Daphnia pulex: one gene and its partner. The protein of the gene in region 1 binds, or shares a complex with, the protein of each later gene. Links are inferred from orthologs where the notes say so. Each region holds a gene or a part of one and is shown on either strand. Other genes may lie near its edges.

Region 1 (9,302 bases):
TCCACTCCGGGATTATATGCGCGCCATAGTTCAGACGGCAACAACAATGGCCGCAGCAGCAGCAGCATGTGCAGCACACTGTGGGTTGAACGTTTCATCGATCGCAATGAAAAGGGAGAAAAGAAAAATGGGAAAAAATTCCACTCGACGAAAACTACTCGGCGGTTGTATTGTGTAATAATACTTGATGTATTTTTCTCAGATTATTGAAGGCCCGCCCCTCTTGACGGCGGATCAAATCTGGGCCCTCCTCCTCCGTTCAAGTTGTTGGTCAACACTTGATGAATTTCTTCTCTTCGATATCGCAATCGATGGAATTCAATTCGAGATAATGACGCACGCACGCACACGCGGATCTCTCTCAACATTTTATGGATATTTAATAGCGTTTGGGGAATTGCATGGGCATAATGGATTTATTATGTATCCGACTCCTGTATACTTGTGTGTCCTGCTGTCCCAGTCAAATGTTGGGGCTATAAATCAGCGTCTGTGCACGCTACACGGTCCGGAAAAAAAGGGGGGTGACGTCACCTGCTTGCATGACTGATATTATAAAATATATTTTACTTTTTTATTTCGATATATAGGCTTTAAAGTTTGTTTTTATTTCGCCAGGTTTTTTTTATAAAAAAGAGCCAGCTGTTTCTTTCGGCTCATTTGCCTAAGCCGCGCCTACACAAGCTTCTTCTTCTTTTTCGTTCGTGAAATAGATTTGAACGCATTCGAAATATGGGTGAGAGAGTTGGTGTGTATTTTTTAATGGACTCTCGACTGAAGAAGAAAAAAAGAAAAATATGTTGTGTGTATGTTCTTGAAAATGTCGGGAGGGATGGATCTCTCCCGCTTATCAGTTATCACCAACCACCACCGAGTGTGTGCGGCGGCGGCCTCGCCCCGTTTCTTTTTCCTCTCGGTCGCCGGGATCAAATGGCTGAGCGTTGCACTGGTGCACAGCCATTTTTCACAGCTCTCACACACACACATACACACACCCTATACACCAACTGAACGTTAAAACATATACGAGACTCACACACAAGTACATCAAAGTTTTCTTCAAATTGTCACTTTGCACATCTTTGCTGGAAATTGTATAGTTATACAACGTGCTCAAGTTGATTTTTGGAAATCCTTCAACAAGTTGGGAAAATCTCATTTGAATTTTCTTGTTATTCAATTGTTTTTTAAATGACATTCAAGAGAGGGGGAGTGAACATGTGTGATAACTCCTAGTAGAGAGACCAAGGGTATTTTATTTGTCTCCCGTTTATGATAAAGAAATATAAGAAATTGTGTGTCTGTTTTTATCGCATTTCTTGGTTGTCAAGGAAAAATGTGTCGAGCTGCAGCCCCCAGCACCACTTGTCGGTATAGATGTAAGCATTTCATCAAAATTGTTTGTTTGCTGGATCGTATAATAATAAAAAGCATGGAACATGGTGAATTCATTAAAACTAGTACCAAATACGCCCTACGCCCTGCTCCTAATAGGCAACAGATCGACAACGGTTCCCCCCTATCCACCGAAAATTCCGCACATATTCTAATTGTTTAATTTCTCCCCCCCCCCTCGCTGCGCATGTGCATCTGATAAGAAATGAACTTTTTTCATTAAATCCCTTTTTTTCTCAGTGTGTGTGTGAAAATGTGTGGCGGCCATTTTTCGATAAATTACACTCGAGAGTGATAAAAGGGAAAAATTCTCACACATTTTTGGGTGGGTCATACAACCCAGAAGAAGAAGAAGATGTCGAAGAAGAGCACAGCGTTTATGCCCGTTATCGACTAGAAGATTAAGTTTATCTTTTGGGGGTGGGTGGGAGAAAATAAAGGGGGGTTGTACAGCATCCTCCTCCCCTACACACACATCTGCTGGCCCTGTACAAAATAGAGGAGGATACATATAGGGAGAGACGAAAGACAGAAGGAGAGAGATGGGGCGGTATTAAAGTTTCTTCACTGCGTGTCGCCGGATCGCAGTCATCGGCCAGTCGACGTCCTCGTCGGACGTCTCCAATTTCCTCTCGTCCAATTTCTTTTTCTTTTCAATTTTTTACTTTTCTAGTTTTCTGTCGTGTCGTCATCGGTTTTGAGGGTTTGATTGGCAGATCTAAAGGTTAGTTGAACACAATTTCATTTTGCCAAAACAAATTTTGAAACACCATTAGGAGAGAGAAAGGGCGGCCATCTTATTATATAGGAAAGGCTCGGCGTGTCGTACAATCTCGTGGTATTTCGCCTTCGCGGCGAGTGTGTCGATTTCTATCATTTCAGAATTCATTTCCGTTTCCACATTATTTTGATGGGGTTTGCATTAATGTTGCCAATATTTTAAAAGGAAAAAACTTTGAAAATCCGTTGGGTTGAAAAAGAAAAACAATGCCGAGAATCATCATCACGGGGAGAGCCAAGAGAATGGGAGTGATCCTAAGCGTCGCACGACGTCAGCGCCACCGTCGCAAAAGGAAGGGGGGGTTGGGATGTGCTCCCGATCGATGAGTCGACGAGAAGGTGGAGTAAAAGCGCCCGTACACACTCACATGGTATAAAGATGGCTTCACGTTTTCTCTCATCTAGTGTGTGCAGTTGTGTTGTGTGTGTGCGTGTGTGTTTGGCCGGCGGTTTTTCAGAGTATGGGTTCGACGCCGACGCCATCTGCCGTCGCTCAGTCAGGAGGGGGGAAGCAGACAGTTAGGTGGGGTGGGCAAGGAGGTGGTGGCCGTAGTCGTAGATGGAGAGACAACGTCGACAGTTCGTTTAGTTTGATGATGTGACTCCTCAACTCACATATCGTCGTCGTCACCACATCATTTTTCAACGTTAGCATATTTATGGTAATATTTTTTAAATGTTTTATTTGTTATTTATTTTCTGTGATTTTTATTTGTGTGCGGGATGATGGGGGGGGGGGGAGAGACCGGATACGACGTTAGTCGGAAAATGCCAACTGCTAATTGGTTTAATTCCCTTCTCTCACTCCCTCCGTGCAGCATCCGATAACAAATCATTTTCTTTTCCATTTTAGCTTTTTCCTTTTCCAAATTTCGTTAGTTAATTCTCAGACCGTCAGTGCAACATCCGTTTTGTGTGTGTAATAACGACCTTATTTTCTTTCGGTGTGTGTGTGTTATCTCGCGGTTGCCAACTTTGATTCGTTTAAGTTTAAAGAAACCGGACGCGTCATTTTGTTTTCTAGATTTACTCTGGCCAAACTCGTTTGAATATCCGTAGGCTTTTTTATTTTTATTTGACGTTTACATTTTTGAAAAAAAGAAGTGGAGCAATTTTCTCCCACGTCCTTCAAATGATTCAATTGCATCCCCACCCCCTTGCTCCGTCCATTTAATCTAATCTATACGCCACACACGCTCAGACAGAGGCAGACATGCCCAATGTTGTTGCCTAGACACTCCCGAGCGCCAGCTGCATTATCGCTTATAACCTTTTGAACCGGCTGTAAAATAAATTCTTAACACACAGCGAGAGGGGGGGGGGAAGAAAAATTATATATATTTTGAATAGAAAAAAAAAGACTTTGAACTCTCTCTCTCCCCTCCCTTCTATCCGTTGATGGTTAAAACGGTCAGACGAGGTCACACACAACAAACACGTCGTAAGCAAGCTGCTGCTGCTTCCTCTTCTTTCTCTCTTCGAGTGTTGAGAGACACATCTCACATTGCTCCGGCTTCAATTTCTTGTAAGAGCCTTTAGCAGCAGCAGCTATCGTGTGTTGGAACACACATTTTTCTTCTTCTCTCGATAGATCACTCAACCGACCCAGCAGAGTATCGACATTTTTTTCTCTTTTTTCATTTCTGGTGAATAAGGGGGGAGGCCCCTGAGCTCTTTTGATTTCCCAACTACACTACTGTACTACTACTACCACCTACCCCATGGTATATATCAAACACACACACAAAAGCTTCTCTTTTTCATTCTTTTCTTTCCTTTTTGATATGGGAAAAGGGCCAGCAGCCGGGCAGATGTTTCCCATTTTGTAAAAGACCGTTCACTCTCTCCTTTTTGCTCACGTATATATATATATATACAGAGGAAAAATGCTCTCCCCTCTTTGGGTATAGTCGTTGGTCGTCTCCGACACCCATTTGTGATGTGTGTGTTGTGTTCCCCCCCATCGTATTTCATTTCCCTTTCTCTCCCCCTTAGTAACCGTGTCTGCTCTTATTTCTCTCTTCTCACACAGACACACAGCAGACTCCCGACCAAACACAGAGGCCAAGCCGATCATCGACCATGTTGTTTTCTTCATTTTCTTGCTTGGGTCTTGCTTATTGGATTCTTTTTATTGTGTGTGTGTTTTTTTTCTTCTGTTGTTGCAGGGGCATCAAATATATATAGGAGGCATTTCGACACCGGAAGCTGAAGGAGCATCACGTATCATCTCTCGCTGTGGAGAAAATGGTTCAATGACTTGGCCTTATCATTCACCAGTCCGGTTAGATTTTTTGGAAAGTTCCTTTTTCTTGGTTGCACCAAGATTTAGTTGAACACCCTACTGGACGGAGAACTGATAAGGGCGTGTCTTGCAACACAATCGACGAAATGGACGAATTTTTTTTTTTTGACAACCAACAAAACTGTATAGAGTGATATAATATTCTTTCGTTCTTAATCATTGACAAAATGTGTGTAACTTTGTAGCTTCTTTTGTTTCGCTTGTTTGTTGCGTATCCGATGGCGTTATTCAATACACATTCTCAAAAGCGAATATGTGATTCAGATTTCAATTTTTATTCTAGATTTATTTCTTTCGCGTTCCGGCGCTCTTATTTAAAAAAATAAAATAATAAAATAAAATGAACCTATCTTTTCAAGTTGAAAAATGACAACGCTGCATTGGGTTTTCAAATGTTAGTCTGCTAGCAGCTCGTGTAGTAAGTACGAACCGGACAAACAAACAAGTCTGGATCTGTCTGTCATATACCGAGTTTGAAATAAAAATTCTTTCTTGTCACTTTTCAGATAAAACGCGCCCACAACATGAAAATCGTAAGCATTTTAATATTTTCCTTTCACCGAAATGGAGCGGTCTGATAAACACAGTTTCTGTTTACATAGTACAGTCTGGGCGCCAACCCAAATAAACCCTGCAACATCTTGAATTTCAAAGGCGTTTCGCTGATGCTCGATTGTGGGCTGGATATCAACTCGGCCCTTCATTTTCTACCTCTGCCTCTCGTTGCCAGCAAAAGGCTCTCAAATTTACCAAACTGGATCCCGAGAGACACACAGGATGCTGCACTTCTTGATGGAGTGAGTTAGATTTGATCTCTTCTCTATCTTCGTGTCATTTCAAATGTTCATTTATCCTGTATAGGAACTGAAAGAATGTGAAAATCGAGTGTTGGTGGATGGCCCAATAGAGATACTGCCCCCTCAGTCAGACATTTTTGACATCTCTGATGTGGATACCATCTTGCTATCGAATCATGCCTGCATGCTGGCCCTGCCATTCATCACTGAAGAAACTGGCTTTAAAGGGAGGGTATATGCAACTGAACCCACCTTGCAGATTGGAAGGTATGCAACCTGCAATTGTTGTCACACAATATTGAGACTATATTGTATTCTTTGTCGTAGGCTCTACATGGAAGAACTGGTCAACTACTTGGAAAGGACTCCCAAAAATCAGCGAGCAAACAGATGGAAGCAAGTACTCCAGTCTCTTCCTCCTCCTCTCAGTGGGGCTCTGAGACCAAATGATTGGAAGAAAGTCTATTCCACAAAAGCCATCAATGCAGCCCTGGCAAAAGTTCGCATGGTTGGCTTCAACGAAAAAATTGTACGTCCTTTTTCGGATTTTTAAAAAATTCTTATGAAACAATATTAACCGACAACTTTTAGGATATCTGTGGTGCTTTAACTGTGATGGCCGTCAGTTCTGGATATTCCCTTGGTAGTTGCAATTGGATCATTCATTCCGGCTATGAGAAGATTGCGTACGTGAGCGCTTCATCTACTCTCACGACCCACCCAAGGTTCTATAAGCTTAATTAGTGTTACTTTTTTAACAAATTAATTTTATACCATTTTTTCCATATACAGGCCGATGGATCAAGTTGCCCTTAGAAATGCCGATCTCTTGATCTTGACAGCGTTGACTCAGACCCCCGTGGCCAATCCAGATTCAATGTTGGGCGAATTCTGCATGGCAGTTGGTAATTCAAATAGTAAAATTCTATTAAATTACATTAGAAAAAAACTAACAATGTTTCCTTAAACCTTTTGCAGCATCCACGTTACGATCGGGCGGATCTTGCCTAGTCCCATGTCACCCTTCCGGCCTTCTTTACGATCTGTTCGAATGTCTCTCAGTTCATTTAGACAATATTGGTCTTAGTCAGATTCCGCTGTTTTTCTTCTCTCCCGTGGCCGAAACTTCCTTGGCTTATTCCAACATCTTCGCTGAATGGTTCGGCTTGTCACATTTATTATTTTTCCGAAAATGTTTAGTCAACTTATCATCCTCATTTCATATAGGTTATCTTCAGGCAAGCAGAGCAAAGTTTATCTCCCAGAAGAACCATTTCCTCACGCCCATCTCATCAAAAATGGTCGACTGAAACACTTCCCAAGCCTGCATGCCGAAGGATTCACCAACGAGTACAGACAGCCATGTGTCGTATTTTGCGGTCATCCTTCCCTTCGTTTTGGCAATGTAGTTCACTTCATAGAGTTATGGGGCAGTCATAGCAACCACAGTATCGTCTTCGTTGAACCCGATTTCCCTTACCTGGAAGCGCTGGCCCCCTATCAACCACTGACCATGAAAATCGTTCACTGTCCCATTGACACGAGTTTGAGCTTCACTCAAGCCAATAAACTGATACGCGATCTCAAGCCAGGAAACTTACTCGTTCCAGACGTTTACCTCCACCCGCCAGTGTCGGCTCCCTTAAGATCAGACTTGGTTATTCAGGGTAAGTCTTCGATCGATTCCTGTTGAACTGGATCTAGTTGGCCAGTCAGTTAACCTTATTCTTTCTTTTTTTTTAGAATTGGATCCACCAGCATTGGGTATGAAGTCCTACCAGGTGTTACAGTTACCAATTAAGAGGAAGCAGGAAAAAGTGCATCTTGATCCGGCCCTGGCCTCTCGTCTCGAACCCATCCAATTTAAAACGGGCCTTTCAGCTTCTACTCTGACTGGAAAATTGGATGCTCGTGACAATAAATTTACTCTGAAAGTGAGTCCTTTGTTCTCCTAACTTGTGACAGTGTCTCATAGCTTTTTACTATTTTCAAATCTAGGTATTAAACGAAGAGGAAGGAGGCACATTGTACAGTGCGTCGGAGAGAATGCTGCCTCGCCATCCTTGGGGCTCTGTTGACACAACTCAACTGTTGCATTTGCTCAGTCAACATGGTTTGCTAGATGCTCGGGTCGAAGACACTCCTCGAGGCGTCGTCATTCACTTGGTACTACCCCGTATATCATTTTGTCATTTCAAGAGTCGTAATAACTTGTCTTTCCAATTTTGTCTTTTAGCCAAGAGAGGACACTGTGATTCAACTGGAAGGTTCCAACACTCATGTTTACTGCCATGATGAAGCGCTACGGAGAACTTTGAGGGATATTTTGCTACAATGTCTACCTTGTTTGTGAACATCACCATAAATACATTCGAATTTTTCTCTTATAAACCCAAGCATAAAAATAAATAGCAGGATAAATAATTGTAGAAAGTGACGGTCGTGAAAGATGTATCGACGGTTTACCCGTGTGAACAAAGAAATTCTGACGAAAGAACTGGGTTAAATTTGGAGTGCATTGAGCTTAACGACGTCCCTAGAATTTTAATTTAAAAATACTAAAATTTGTAAAGGAATCACGCGGAATTCTATTCGGGAAATGACGTCTATAGATTATAATTTTTCTTTTTTAAAAATATTCCAAAGTTATCACGTTGTGAAATGGCAATGCTGCATTTTATATCGTCTGTTGCATTGTAATTTCTGTGAATTTCATTTGCATATCATTCAGTTTACTAGACTAACCCATATTACTAGGGACGACAGTAGTTGCTCTCGTCATCGAACTAATATTGACTTTGTTTTGAAGTATGTAGCCTCAATTTGAGGAGAATTGCTGAGTTAAATCTTCGCTCGCTTTGTTTTATCCCTAAGTTGAAACCCCCAAGTTGAAGCGTTTTTTTCTTTATTGTTGATTTCCTGGTCATATGGGTGACTTTCTTATTCGTTAAATTTCTTTCGATTGCCATATTAAAAAAGTCATAACAATGAATCAGTTAATGAGGACGGTAATCGATGTACTTCAGGAGCTTCGTATAGATTTACAAGATTTTGCGTGGCTCATTGCTCAGCAACTTAGAATTGATTCTGTGTTGGTAAATGCCTCAGACCAAGTAAGTGTTGAAGCAACCTTTCACTTTTATAGAAAAAAATATTTAATTTTTTTTTTGCCCGAAGGTACTTTACATATTTCATAAGGGAGATGCTGGAAATCAGAGGAGCTTAATACGAAAATTAGCTTGCAGGATTCCCATCAAACCGTCTCCTCGCATACACTTTACAATTGTGAACTCAGAATATTCATCTAGTTTAGAATGGGATGCACAATCCACAGTTGATGAAGGCTTAGCAGCCATTCCAACTTTAGACAACAATGGCAAAATTGACTTTTGGAAGTAAGTTATTAATCGTGCAGCATTTCAATATTGTTTTAAACTTACTTCTTATTTTATCCAGTAAAAAAATGAAACCCAAAGCATCATCATCCATTGCTGATTCGGAAATCATTCCATATGAAGACGATGTTCCTTCTGTTCGATCAGCATCTCCACCAAGTGTATGTGCCGATTCATTGTACAGCTCTCAAAGCACAATTGACACAGTGGCCATGACCAAAATTTCGGCTCTGGAGGATGAACTATCTCGTTTGAGAGAACAGATTGCGAAAATAGTTAACGTTGCGACAAATAATAAACCAGGAACGTCAGGTAATCTTTTTCGCTGATTTTCTTGCAGCACTTGCATAAATTTCTTCTTTTGTGTCCTGCACAAATATGTCTAGTAGACTATGGAAGCATGCCTGCTACTCCCATTCCACCGCCTCCGCCTTTCATGCCGCCTCCACCTCCACCACCGCCTGCCACCATGCTCTTTGGACCACCTCCTCCACCACCTCCAATGTCTACTGGACTTCTTCCTCCTCCACCTCCTCCTCTACCCATTAACGGAACTGCCAACGAAACACCTAACAGAAAACTATCTTTGGCTGAATCATTGCAAAATAAGAGCTTAAAAGCCACAGATCA
Region 2 (9,302 bases), on another chromosome or scaffold:
AAACGATTTTGATTTTGGTGAGGTTCACTCGGTATAATATGGGGAAAGTAACCTGCGAATGCGCAGTAAACCAACGTTGCAACACACTTGACCATGGTTTACGAATTACGACACAGCAATGATTGCTCTTCAAGGACTCGGCACGACATCCTTCATGTACTTTATTACTTGATCTGTACTGCATGACCATTGAGTAGAAATCCTGCTATCTCTTCCACGAACCCCACGATTATGGTAAAATTAGATGGCGATTCGATTTAATACAGAATAGCCAAGGCTCCTTATCTCTTTTGGGTTCTCACGGGTTCCCAAGGAAAGCTTTAGCGTTGATGAGGATGTTTCTGTATCTGTTATCATGAAGATATTGCGTCATTCATACCCTTGCCAACATCCGCTAATCTAGGTTCGACAAGCAGATACATCCCAATAAATGTCAATGAAATGGATCACAATCGTGATCCTGTCAGTTACGGTAAGTTAAATCTTATATGTTATTTAATAATAGTTATCTTTAAAGACCATTATAAAATCTTGTTGTGTATATAGCGGTGTTTTTCATGTTGTTGCAAGTTGATTAACTTATACATAAGGAAAGCTTCCGTTTTAATTCAGCAACTGGCCGATGCGGATGTCCACCCTGACGCCGTCCTTTTCGTCTATCTGACGGCCAGCGGTAAAGACATTGACTGGAGAAAAGACTGCCTTGCCAAGAAGATGTCAGCTGGAACACTCGACGCCCTGATGGGAGACGTTCTCCGCTCCCAGCTGCTGGAACATGCCTCTGAGCTTCCGTGGGATTCCCGCTGGTTCGGCAACGTGTACGGGCATAATTTCAACGTGGACGCGAGCGTCGAAGACTTGCCGGCCAATCAAGATTGGATCGACCTGATGGAAGCTCTCCAAATGAGACGACACATGCTGGACGTTGATGCTCTCTCCGTGGAAGGCGATGAGCTGGAAACAACTTTGTCTCGAGTGGCCCAGTATTTGGTCGTGGCTGCTGAAATGGACGGTCCCGGCCGTTTGCGAACTGCTTCGCCGTTTCCCCGTCACTTCGCTCAACATGCCTGCCGAAGTGGACCGTAGCCAAGCCGTTGTCTTATCGCGACGCTTGCGGCGATGGCTGGAACAGAACGTGAAACCGTTTTTGGACGAAACTCATTCACACGTCACGTGTGCCGAGGACAAAGGAGTGATTATTCTTCGCGATGATTATTCCGCGGAAGGATCTCAGTTGGTGCCCAGCGTCGCCCTCGTCGTGTCTGAAGGTGATATCGACAAGTCGGCACAACTGGATCGTCAACTAAATCGCATCTCCTTGAAAACGGAAAGTGCAAATGGCGCCGCTCAGCTCCATCTCCTGTTTCTGATGGATCACGTCTTGATGCTGGGACATTATCGCCTGCCCTGCGGAATCGCTCAGATGATTCACGGTGCGGAATTGATGGTGAGAAACGTGAAGAGCGCGGCCTGGAGGAGAGATTTCGGCGACGCCACCCCCCTGGATTGGAGCGATTCCATCGCTGACCTGTTTGATCGCCCGTCTCGATTGGCGGCGGAACAACCCACTTGCGTGTTGGCTCAGGCGCAACTCTGCACGTCGACTGATGTTGGCCGGCTCTTCGACGCAGCGTTCCATCACCCAATCGATCGGAATCAAAACCAGAAGACGCTTCTCTTTCCCGCCTTGAAAGATGTCGAGCGGATCCTCTCTTTCGCCGTGGACAGTCCAATCATGAAACTGGTGACGGGACTGGAAATGTTGCTGACCAAGTGTCACGGAAGCCAATGCTCACCGGGGTGTGTCCATCAGTGAAGAACTATTTTGTTACTAATCGACGATCGACGATTGCTGTTTTTTTTTTCTTAAACTAAAAAATAATAATATATTTTTTTTAACTTAAGCGAGTAACATTTTAAATTTCAACCAAATCATAGGATTTTTTAGCTTAAACTTTCTTCCACAGATGGATAGCATAGTATATTAGCGCTGAAATAATATGTGAATCCAATCGGTCCCATGTCCCCTCTATTGTGCATCGCGCTGTTTGTGGTGGTTTCAAGACAAGAAGCAAATTTTCTATTCGAAGATTTCAAAAATCAATCAGCAAATATTTGATGGCCGTCAGACCTCTGTCAGCGTCTGCCAGTGAAGCGCAGTGAAGTTCGTTGTGGACCAAAATTGTCCATAATTGAATTCGGAGGCATAACAAATTTGGACACATTTGCCTTATTTGGCTGCAGTGATGGATTCACCACAGATATGAATAATTTGGTGGATGAACGTCAGTGATCCATCAGGGAAATCTATATTGGTAGATAAATTATTTAAGCAATCTGCAATATCCTCAAATAACCCCGCCCGTGTTTGCTAGCGTCGAAACCAAAATGCGTCATCTCACTCAATTGATCAAATTCCATAAGTTCTTTCATACCTAAATTCACAAACAAATGTCGTTCCCTAATTTAATTTTTAATCCACCCAGTAAAAACTAAAAAGTTTTTGTGTACCTGGGTAGGCCAGAACTTTAATCTTTATGTACTTTTAAGAAATACTCGTTTGCGTACAGGACGTGTGGCCCAATGGATAAGGCGCCTGCCTACGGAGCAGGAGATTCCAGGTTCGATCCCTGGCACGTTCAAATTTTTTTTATTAACATTTTTTTATTATTTTTTGAATTCCCCGTCGTTTTCATAACAAAATGAATTTAATAATCGTGTTGCCCCACCTACGGAACAAAGGATTTTAGAATAGATTCCTCGCAGGATCGACCTTTAGTGGCTTATAAACTGGCTTAGTAAGTTAGTATCTGTATGCGCAGTATTTGCGATTGAAAAAGGGAGTTACGTTGTATTAAACTCAATTTAGACGCTCATTAATAAATGCTCCATTAATTAGATGGGATAAGATTAGAAAATTGGCTTGTCTTCATTTTCAATTTCGAGTTTTCGACTTCCGATTCCGAATTCCAAAATCCGAATTTTCCCCAAAAGTGATCAAAGCTTGAAATATGGCAACAGAGTAACCGGCAATATTTATTTCCAATTTTCATTTAGAAAAGAAATTTTTTCACGCAGTGCTGTTGAATGTTGATGATATAAATTTGAATCAGGTTTGTGGAAAATTTGAAGGACAATTGTAAACTATTAATTAAGGCTTTGGTCGTTTGAAAAAGGCCAATTGAATTCAGCTATGACAGATATCAAAGTAACACCACTTGGGGCTGGACAAGATGTGGGGAGAAGTTGTATTTTACTACAAATGGGAGGAAAGAATATCATGTTAGATTGTGGCATGCATATGGGGTACAATGATGAGGTAAGTTTAGTTTTGGTTGTTCAAACATCAAAGTTTTGTTTGTCCTTACCCAAATCTTTTATTCTGTAGCGACGGTTTCCAGACTTTTCATACATTGCTGACGGAAACTTGACAGAATCCCTAGATTGTGTCATCATATCCCATTTCCATCTAGATCATTGTGGGGCTTTACCATTTATGACTGAAATGGTTGGATATAATGGCCCAATTTACATGACTCATCCAACAAAGGCTATTGCTCCTATCCTTTTGGTAAGATTCTTTTTACATTTCACAAATTGGTATTATGTTACAGCATAATTTATACTTGCCAAACAGGAGGACATGAGGAAAGTGGCTGTAGAGAGAAAGGGTGAAACCAATTTTTTCACTTCAGCTCACATCAAGGATTGCATGAAAAAGGTTATTGCTGTCACTCTGCATCAAACTGTTCAAGTATACCATTATTTACTTCAGCCAGGGTTTTCATATCTTGATTAATTTTTTTTTGTTATAGGTAGACTCAGAAATTGAAATAAAAGCTTACTATGCTGGTCATGTGTTGGGTGCAGCCATGTTTCACGTCAAAGTAGGCAACCAATCTGTGGTGTACACTGTAAGTTAATATTGGAAATCTTGGTTCTGTGCATACCTGTAAAATATATCTATTAGGGAGATTATAACATGACTCCGGATCGACACTTGGGTGCCGCCTGGATCGACAAATGCCGACCCAACATACTTATATCGGAATCCACTTATGCTACAACTATCCGTGACTCTAAACGCTGTCGAGAGCGGGATTTCTTAAAGAAAGTACATGATTGTGTAGACAGAGGAGGCAAAGTTCTCATTCCCGTGTTTGCACTTGGTCGAGCTCAAGAACTTTGTATTCTTTTGGAAACTTATTGGGAACGAATGAATCTTAAAGCGCCAATCTACTTTGCTGTGGGTCTCACTGAAAAGGTAACTTCGATTGAAATAGTTAATCTTTTGAATCCTCTTAAACTTTTTTCCCTTTTCATAGGCCAACAATTACTACAAAATGTTCATCACCTGGACCAATCAAAAGATTCGCAAGACTTTTGTTCAAAGAAACATGTTCGAGTTCAAACACATCCGTCCTTTCGATAAAAGTTACGCCGATACACCTGGTCCAATGGTCGTTTTCGCCACTCCTGGGATGCTTCACGCAGGTCTTTCTTTGCAACTCTTCAAAAAATGGGCACCCAATGAAAATAACATGGTAGGAAGAGATAAATTATAATACAAATGTATATTTTCAATTATTTCAACTAACTGGAATCCTTTTTTCCCCACGTAGTTAATTATGCCTGGTTACTGTGTCTCTGGAACGGTTGGTGCCAAAGTTCTCAGTGGTGCTAAAAAAGTTGAAATTGAAAACAGACAAGTTATCGAAGTGAAAATGTCTGTTCAGGTGAGTTATTAGGATTCACTAATACGCCAAATATCTGTCAATTAATCCCATTCATTTGTTATCAGTACATGTCATTTAGCGCTCATGCCGACGCCAAGGGTATCATGCAATTAATCCAATATTGCGAGCCTCAAAATGTGCTCCTTGTTCACGGAGAGGGCGTAAAAATGGAGTTCTTGAAACAGAAAATTCAACAAGAGTACGGTATCGACTGTTACATGCCGGCAAACGGGGAGTCGGCGTACATTCCATGCAAACCTGTTGTTCCTGTCGATGTATCACTTTCATTGCTGAAAAAAGAAATGGCTCTCTATGATACGGTTGGCGCACCAGACCCGAAACGACCTTGCCGTATGCATGGTGTGCTCGTCATGAAAGACAACGTAAGTGTACTTGATTTAGCTATACTTTCTGCCTACATTTTTATTCATTGTTTTGGCCATAGGTTCTCAAGCTTATGGAACCCGAGCAGGCATTCGGTGAACTAGGTTTAAACCGGCATTCTATCCGATTCACTTCCTGTATCCAACTAAGATTACCCGGAACCGCTATTAGAGCTATGGATCAGATACAGCTTATTTTGAATTCGTAAGAATTCTCAATACTTTTTTTTAAAGATAATATAACTTGAGCATCTTTTGTTTAAATTTACAGACAAAATACTAACTACCCGGTTAAACCGTCTGACGAGGGGTTACTCAATTTGGAGTCGGTTAGTATTAAAATGGAGACGACAGACAAAGAAGATCGCAAATCCATGATGATCTCCTGGGCCTTGCAGGTTAATTGTTGTTTTTAAAAACAAAACCTAATAAAGTTACTGAGTTTCTATTATTTTCTAGGACGAAGATTTAGCAACGTGGATTATGTCTTCACTACGACAAGTCATTGTTTGATAAGGTCGCGTAATCTCTGTGAATTACCTTTCATGAAATGAATACCCTCAATATGTATTGATAAAAAAATGATTAATTTTTTAAATATCACTTTCACGAATATTTCCGATTGTCCGAGTGTAAATTATTTCCTTAATGTTCACATACTTGTGGATCCCAACTACCCGAATTTTAGGAAATTGTAGACAATTGGCATGTGGCAATTCGTGTATTAAGAAGGTTTCACTCTAACTGTTAGGTTTTGAATCATTGTTCAAAATACTAGACTCGTACATCTTCAACTGTTTTACAAATCCCGCATTAGGTTGAGCTCTTGGTCTGGCAGCTTTGACTTGACTTATAGCCTCACAGAGACTCTTTTGTCGACGACACATTAGGAAGGCGACCACGATTGAAACAGAACGAGAAACACCAGCATTACAATGGACAAGCACACGACCGTTTTTAAGCGCTTCATCTATAAACTCAAAACACTTGGCAAAATGACAACTTAGCGGTTCTTCGGGCAAGTCCAAAATGTGAACATCGAGATAGTGAAGGTCAAGTAATTTCTGAGATGGAACTCCGGCAACGTTCAGTACGTGGGTGATCCCATACTGTTTAATCAATTCTGCATCATTGGCAACATCTTGAGAAGCGACAAAAAGGCCTTCCTCTACTTGGCCAACCTGTAGATCTGGTGTGTTATCGATGACAAAACCGTAAGATTGTTCACTCTCCACTGCAACTCCGTCGCCTTCATGAAATACTCGTCCACTCGGTAAAGTCACTCGCGTAGTCACTCGGCGCAAATTTTGTCCCTTAGTTTTCAATAATTCGTTGAGGCTGCTCATCTTGAGGAATCTTGTAGCCAACGTCTAGAAGATACAATCCGTACGGTGGAGCTGTCATAGCTTTCGGATTCCACTGTCCTGGATGATCAAATAATTGACGGGCTTCGTCAAGGTTGATATGACCATTAGCTACAGCCACCACCAGAGCCACCATCCGACGCACTTGTCTGTACATGAACGACCGAGATTTGATGTGGAAATCATAAAAATCAATGCCCGAATACAAAGGATCGTATAAAGGATCAAACAAAGGCCTTCCAGGTTTGATATGGAAAGCATCTATTGTTCGAACAGTAGGGTACCCCGGTGGTCTCCCGCTGATGCCGTGACAGAATGACGCGAAATCTTTAGTTCCTTCAAATAGTTTGCAGACTTCAATAGCTTTGTCCAAACAAAAAGGTTTCTCTATGAAGTAGCACTTTCTCCATTCAATGACAGGATGACACTTAACATCCTCTGGGGTTACACCAATTCTGTAAAGGTAGTGTCTCGAATAACTTGAATATCTTGCATGAAAAGTTGATGGCACAGCTTCCACATTATTCACTGTAAGATTGATGTCAGATTTTTGACAGAACACATGCAAAGTTTTCTGGAGGGTGCGTGGTGGGATGCAACTACCATTCTTCAGAAGCTCCAAGTCAACATGAGCTAAATTGCAAAATGAATGCACTCCTTGATCTGTACTGTTCAATACAGGAAATTAATCTTCATATTACTATAAGCGAAGATTACAGGATATTTTTACCGGCTTGAGAACTGGACACCAGGTTCAAAGGAGGTAGCTGACTTTTTGTGTTGAAGGAATCTTAAAATTCCTTTTTCCAAAATTGTCTGAATTGAAGCTCGGTACGGAATTTCATCGTTGTATATTTCTCCAGGCTGTCTTTGTAACCCCCTGAGAAATGTAAGATTCGTTATTTTTTTACATATGGTCACATATAATTCTATGATTATATTAACATACCGAAAGCGCGTTCCCGAATACGAGAATTTAATGAGATAACGCTGCATTAGAAATTTCGCTCTGTAAACTTTGCAAAAATAAAAAATAGACGGACGGAATCACATCACATTGTGATTTGTGATTATTTCTTAGCAGACGATGCACTTTAGTTGCCAGATTTTGAAAATAATGAATATAGAAGAAATGCAACGCCGAGTTGAAAAAGGAAAAAGGGAAAATCACAAAATTTCCGATCCGACGACGATATACGGTCTTGTTCTCAATCAGCTGCTAGTAGTACAGCTGGGAAAAATAGTGTTGGTATTATTCGTTTTGATTTTGTAATTCCTACTTTTCCTAAACATGGAAAACATAGGCAGCAAGGCTGTTGGATTATCCAGGCAGTACATGGTAATTTATATATTTCATCTAATGGTTATTATAGGTGTACTTCATGTTTACTTGTCGTTCAGCAATTACGTAACCTGGCTACCGCTGCAGCTGCGAAGCCTGCTGTTGCACCTCGAATCAAGAAATTTGCCGTCTATCGATGGAATCCTGATGTCTCTGGGGATAAGCCGCATCTTCAGACCTATGAAGTGGACTTGAATACGTAACACAATTTAAACTCAGAAATTTGAAAATTTTGTGGCATGTCTAACTGTATATGTTTAGGTGTGGGCCTATGGTTCTTGATGCTTTGATTAAAATCAAGAGTGAAATGGACCCTACACTTACATTTAGGAGGTCATGCAGAGAAGGTATCTGTGGCTCCTGTGCTATGAATATTGGTGGTTGCAATTCTCTTGCCTGTATTAGGTAATTTGAAAATATTTTCAAACTGATCCTTTTGTATTAATTGTCTTCATTCTACAGCAAAATTGATACTAATTTGGACAAACCTGTGAAGATTCATCCACTACCACACATGTATGTTGTTAAGGATTTGGTGCCTGATATGAGTAACTTCTATGCTCAGTACAAGTCCATTCAACCTTGGCTGCAACGCAAGGATGAATCAAAGTTGGGGCAGAAACAATATTTGCAGAGTGTAGATGATCGTCAGAAACTGGTATTATTCCACTTGATTTGCACAATAGGTCCTTCTCTACTTTAAATACATTTTTTTAACAGGATGGTCTCTATGAGTGTATTCTGTGTGCATGCTGCAGCACATCGTGCCCCTCTTATTGGTGGAACGGCGATAAATATCTTGGCCCTGCTGTGCTCATGCAGGTTAGGAATTTGCCTAATTCTGTCACGTTGTTCGTACTGCTGACTTGATTATCTTAGGCTTACCGCTGGATGATTGATTCTCGTGACGAAGCTACTAAAGATCGTTTAGATCGTCTGAGGGATCCGTTCTCGGTCTTCCGCTGCCACACGATTATGAACTGTACGAAGGCGTGTCCAAAAGGCCTGAACCCGGGAAAAGCTATTGCCGAGATCAAGAAGCTTTTGACTGGTTTTGCCACCAAACCAGAACCAACAATGAATCCCGCTGGTTAAGGAAAATTATCACGCGCACATTCGCAATTTGAGAAGGGGTGTAGTTGATTTCAGCTCCGCGTTTATTTTACAACCTAAAACGACACACTTTGCCCTATTCTCCTGTAGTTATGAACGAGAAATAATATAAGATTTTGGATGTGTTTCATCTGGAGTCATCAAATTAAAAGACTGTAGACCACGTAAATAATTTTGTTCATATTCGTTGCCCATCGCTTTGCTATAATGATGCCTTGTCCGCCGCGTTCAGTTTAAACTGAAGTCGTTTCATACATCTTAGTGAGGTGGAACTTGATGCCAGAGCAGATTTCTTCAGGTTACCTGTAACCGTGCGATCGTTATGTAATAATTTATTGAGCCATAGAAAATGAAATTGGTTTGC

The links.
Region 2: the proteins of integrator complex subunit 9-like (region 1) and integrator complex subunit 11-like are in contact, whole or in part, in a cryo-EM structure (PDB 7SN8), measured with the Drosophila melanogaster proteins. The link is inferred for Daphnia pulex from reciprocal best matches to the Drosophila melanogaster genes IntS9 and IntS11. Residues at the interface, in NP_648838.3 of Drosophila melanogaster: Glu128, Tyr198, Asp199, Glu200, Lys201, His230, Asp333, Ser334, Ala337, Tyr338, Asn340, Ile341, Glu344, Gln351, Val354, Tyr355, Leu356, Pro357, Asp358, Asp359, Pro360, Arg509, Lys510, Leu511, Asp512, Arg513, Ile514, Tyr515, Ile516, Ser518; in NP_651721.1 of Drosophila melanogaster: His94, Lys97, Ala98, Pro135, Thr137, His139, Gln140, Ser141, Glu149, Lys151, Lys274, Thr277, Tyr278, Lys280, Met281, Phe282, Ile283, Thr284, Trp285, Phe294, Val295, His296, Val450, Lys451, Ile452, Pro453, Val454, Asp455, Ala456, Ser457.

What each region holds. Positions count from the first base shown.
Region 1 is NC_060027.1:3,455,442-3,464,743, reverse strand, and holds integrator complex subunit 9-like, read left to right. Parts: upstream 1-4,866; 5' UTR 4,867-5,004; coding exon 5,005-5,013; intron 5,014-5,082; coding exon 5,083-5,277; intron 5,278-5,341; coding exon 5,342-5,544; intron 5,545-5,604; coding exon 5,605-5,806; exon of another isoform or gene 5,807-5,868; coding exon 5,869-6,002; exon of another isoform or gene 6,003-6,069; coding exon 6,070-6,182; intron 6,183-6,246; exon of another isoform or gene 6,247-6,255; coding exon 6,256-6,436; intron 6,437-6,504; coding exon 6,505-6,944; intron 6,945-7,020; coding exon 7,021-7,211; intron 7,212-7,275; coding exon 7,276-7,443; intron 7,444-7,513; coding exon 7,514-7,630; 3' UTR 7,631-7,668; downstream 7,669-9,302. Other genes in the region: mitochondrial fission regulator 1-like, read left to right, coding at 8,265-8,390, 8,455-8,672, 8,734-8,984, 9,059-9,302. UniProt on the Drosophila melanogaster protein: Component of the integrator complex, a multiprotein complex that terminates RNA polymerase II (Pol II) transcription in the promoter-proximal region of genes.
Region 2 is NC_060018.1:12,406,781-12,416,082, reverse strand, and holds integrator complex subunit 11-like, read left to right. Parts: upstream 1-2,993; 5' UTR 2,994-3,113; exon of another isoform or gene 3,114-3,176; 5' UTR 3,177-3,193; coding exon 3,194-3,319; intron 3,320-3,388; coding exon 3,389-3,571; intron 3,572-3,637; coding exon 3,638-3,754; intron 3,755-3,815; coding exon 3,816-3,914; intron 3,915-3,970; coding exon 3,971-4,264; intron 4,265-4,325; coding exon 4,326-4,544; intron 4,545-4,622; coding exon 4,623-4,736; intron 4,737-4,801; coding exon 4,802-5,119; intron 5,120-5,181; coding exon 5,182-5,324; intron 5,325-5,390; coding exon 5,391-5,517; intron 5,518-5,578; coding exon 5,579-5,632; 3' UTR 5,633-5,734; downstream 5,735-9,302. Other genes in the region: dual specificity protein phosphatase 19-like, read right to left, coding at 5,860-6,465; tRNA pseudouridine synthase-like 1, read right to left, coding at 6,434-7,151, 7,214-7,363, 7,433-7,479; succinate dehydrogenase [ubiquinone] iron-sulfur subunit, mitochondrial-like, read left to right, coding at 7,775-7,822, 7,885-8,024, 8,087-8,230, 8,288-8,483, 8,546-8,647, 8,705-8,920. UniProt on the Drosophila melanogaster protein: RNA endonuclease component of the integrator complex, a multiprotein complex that terminates RNA polymerase II (Pol II) transcription in the promoter-proximal region of genes.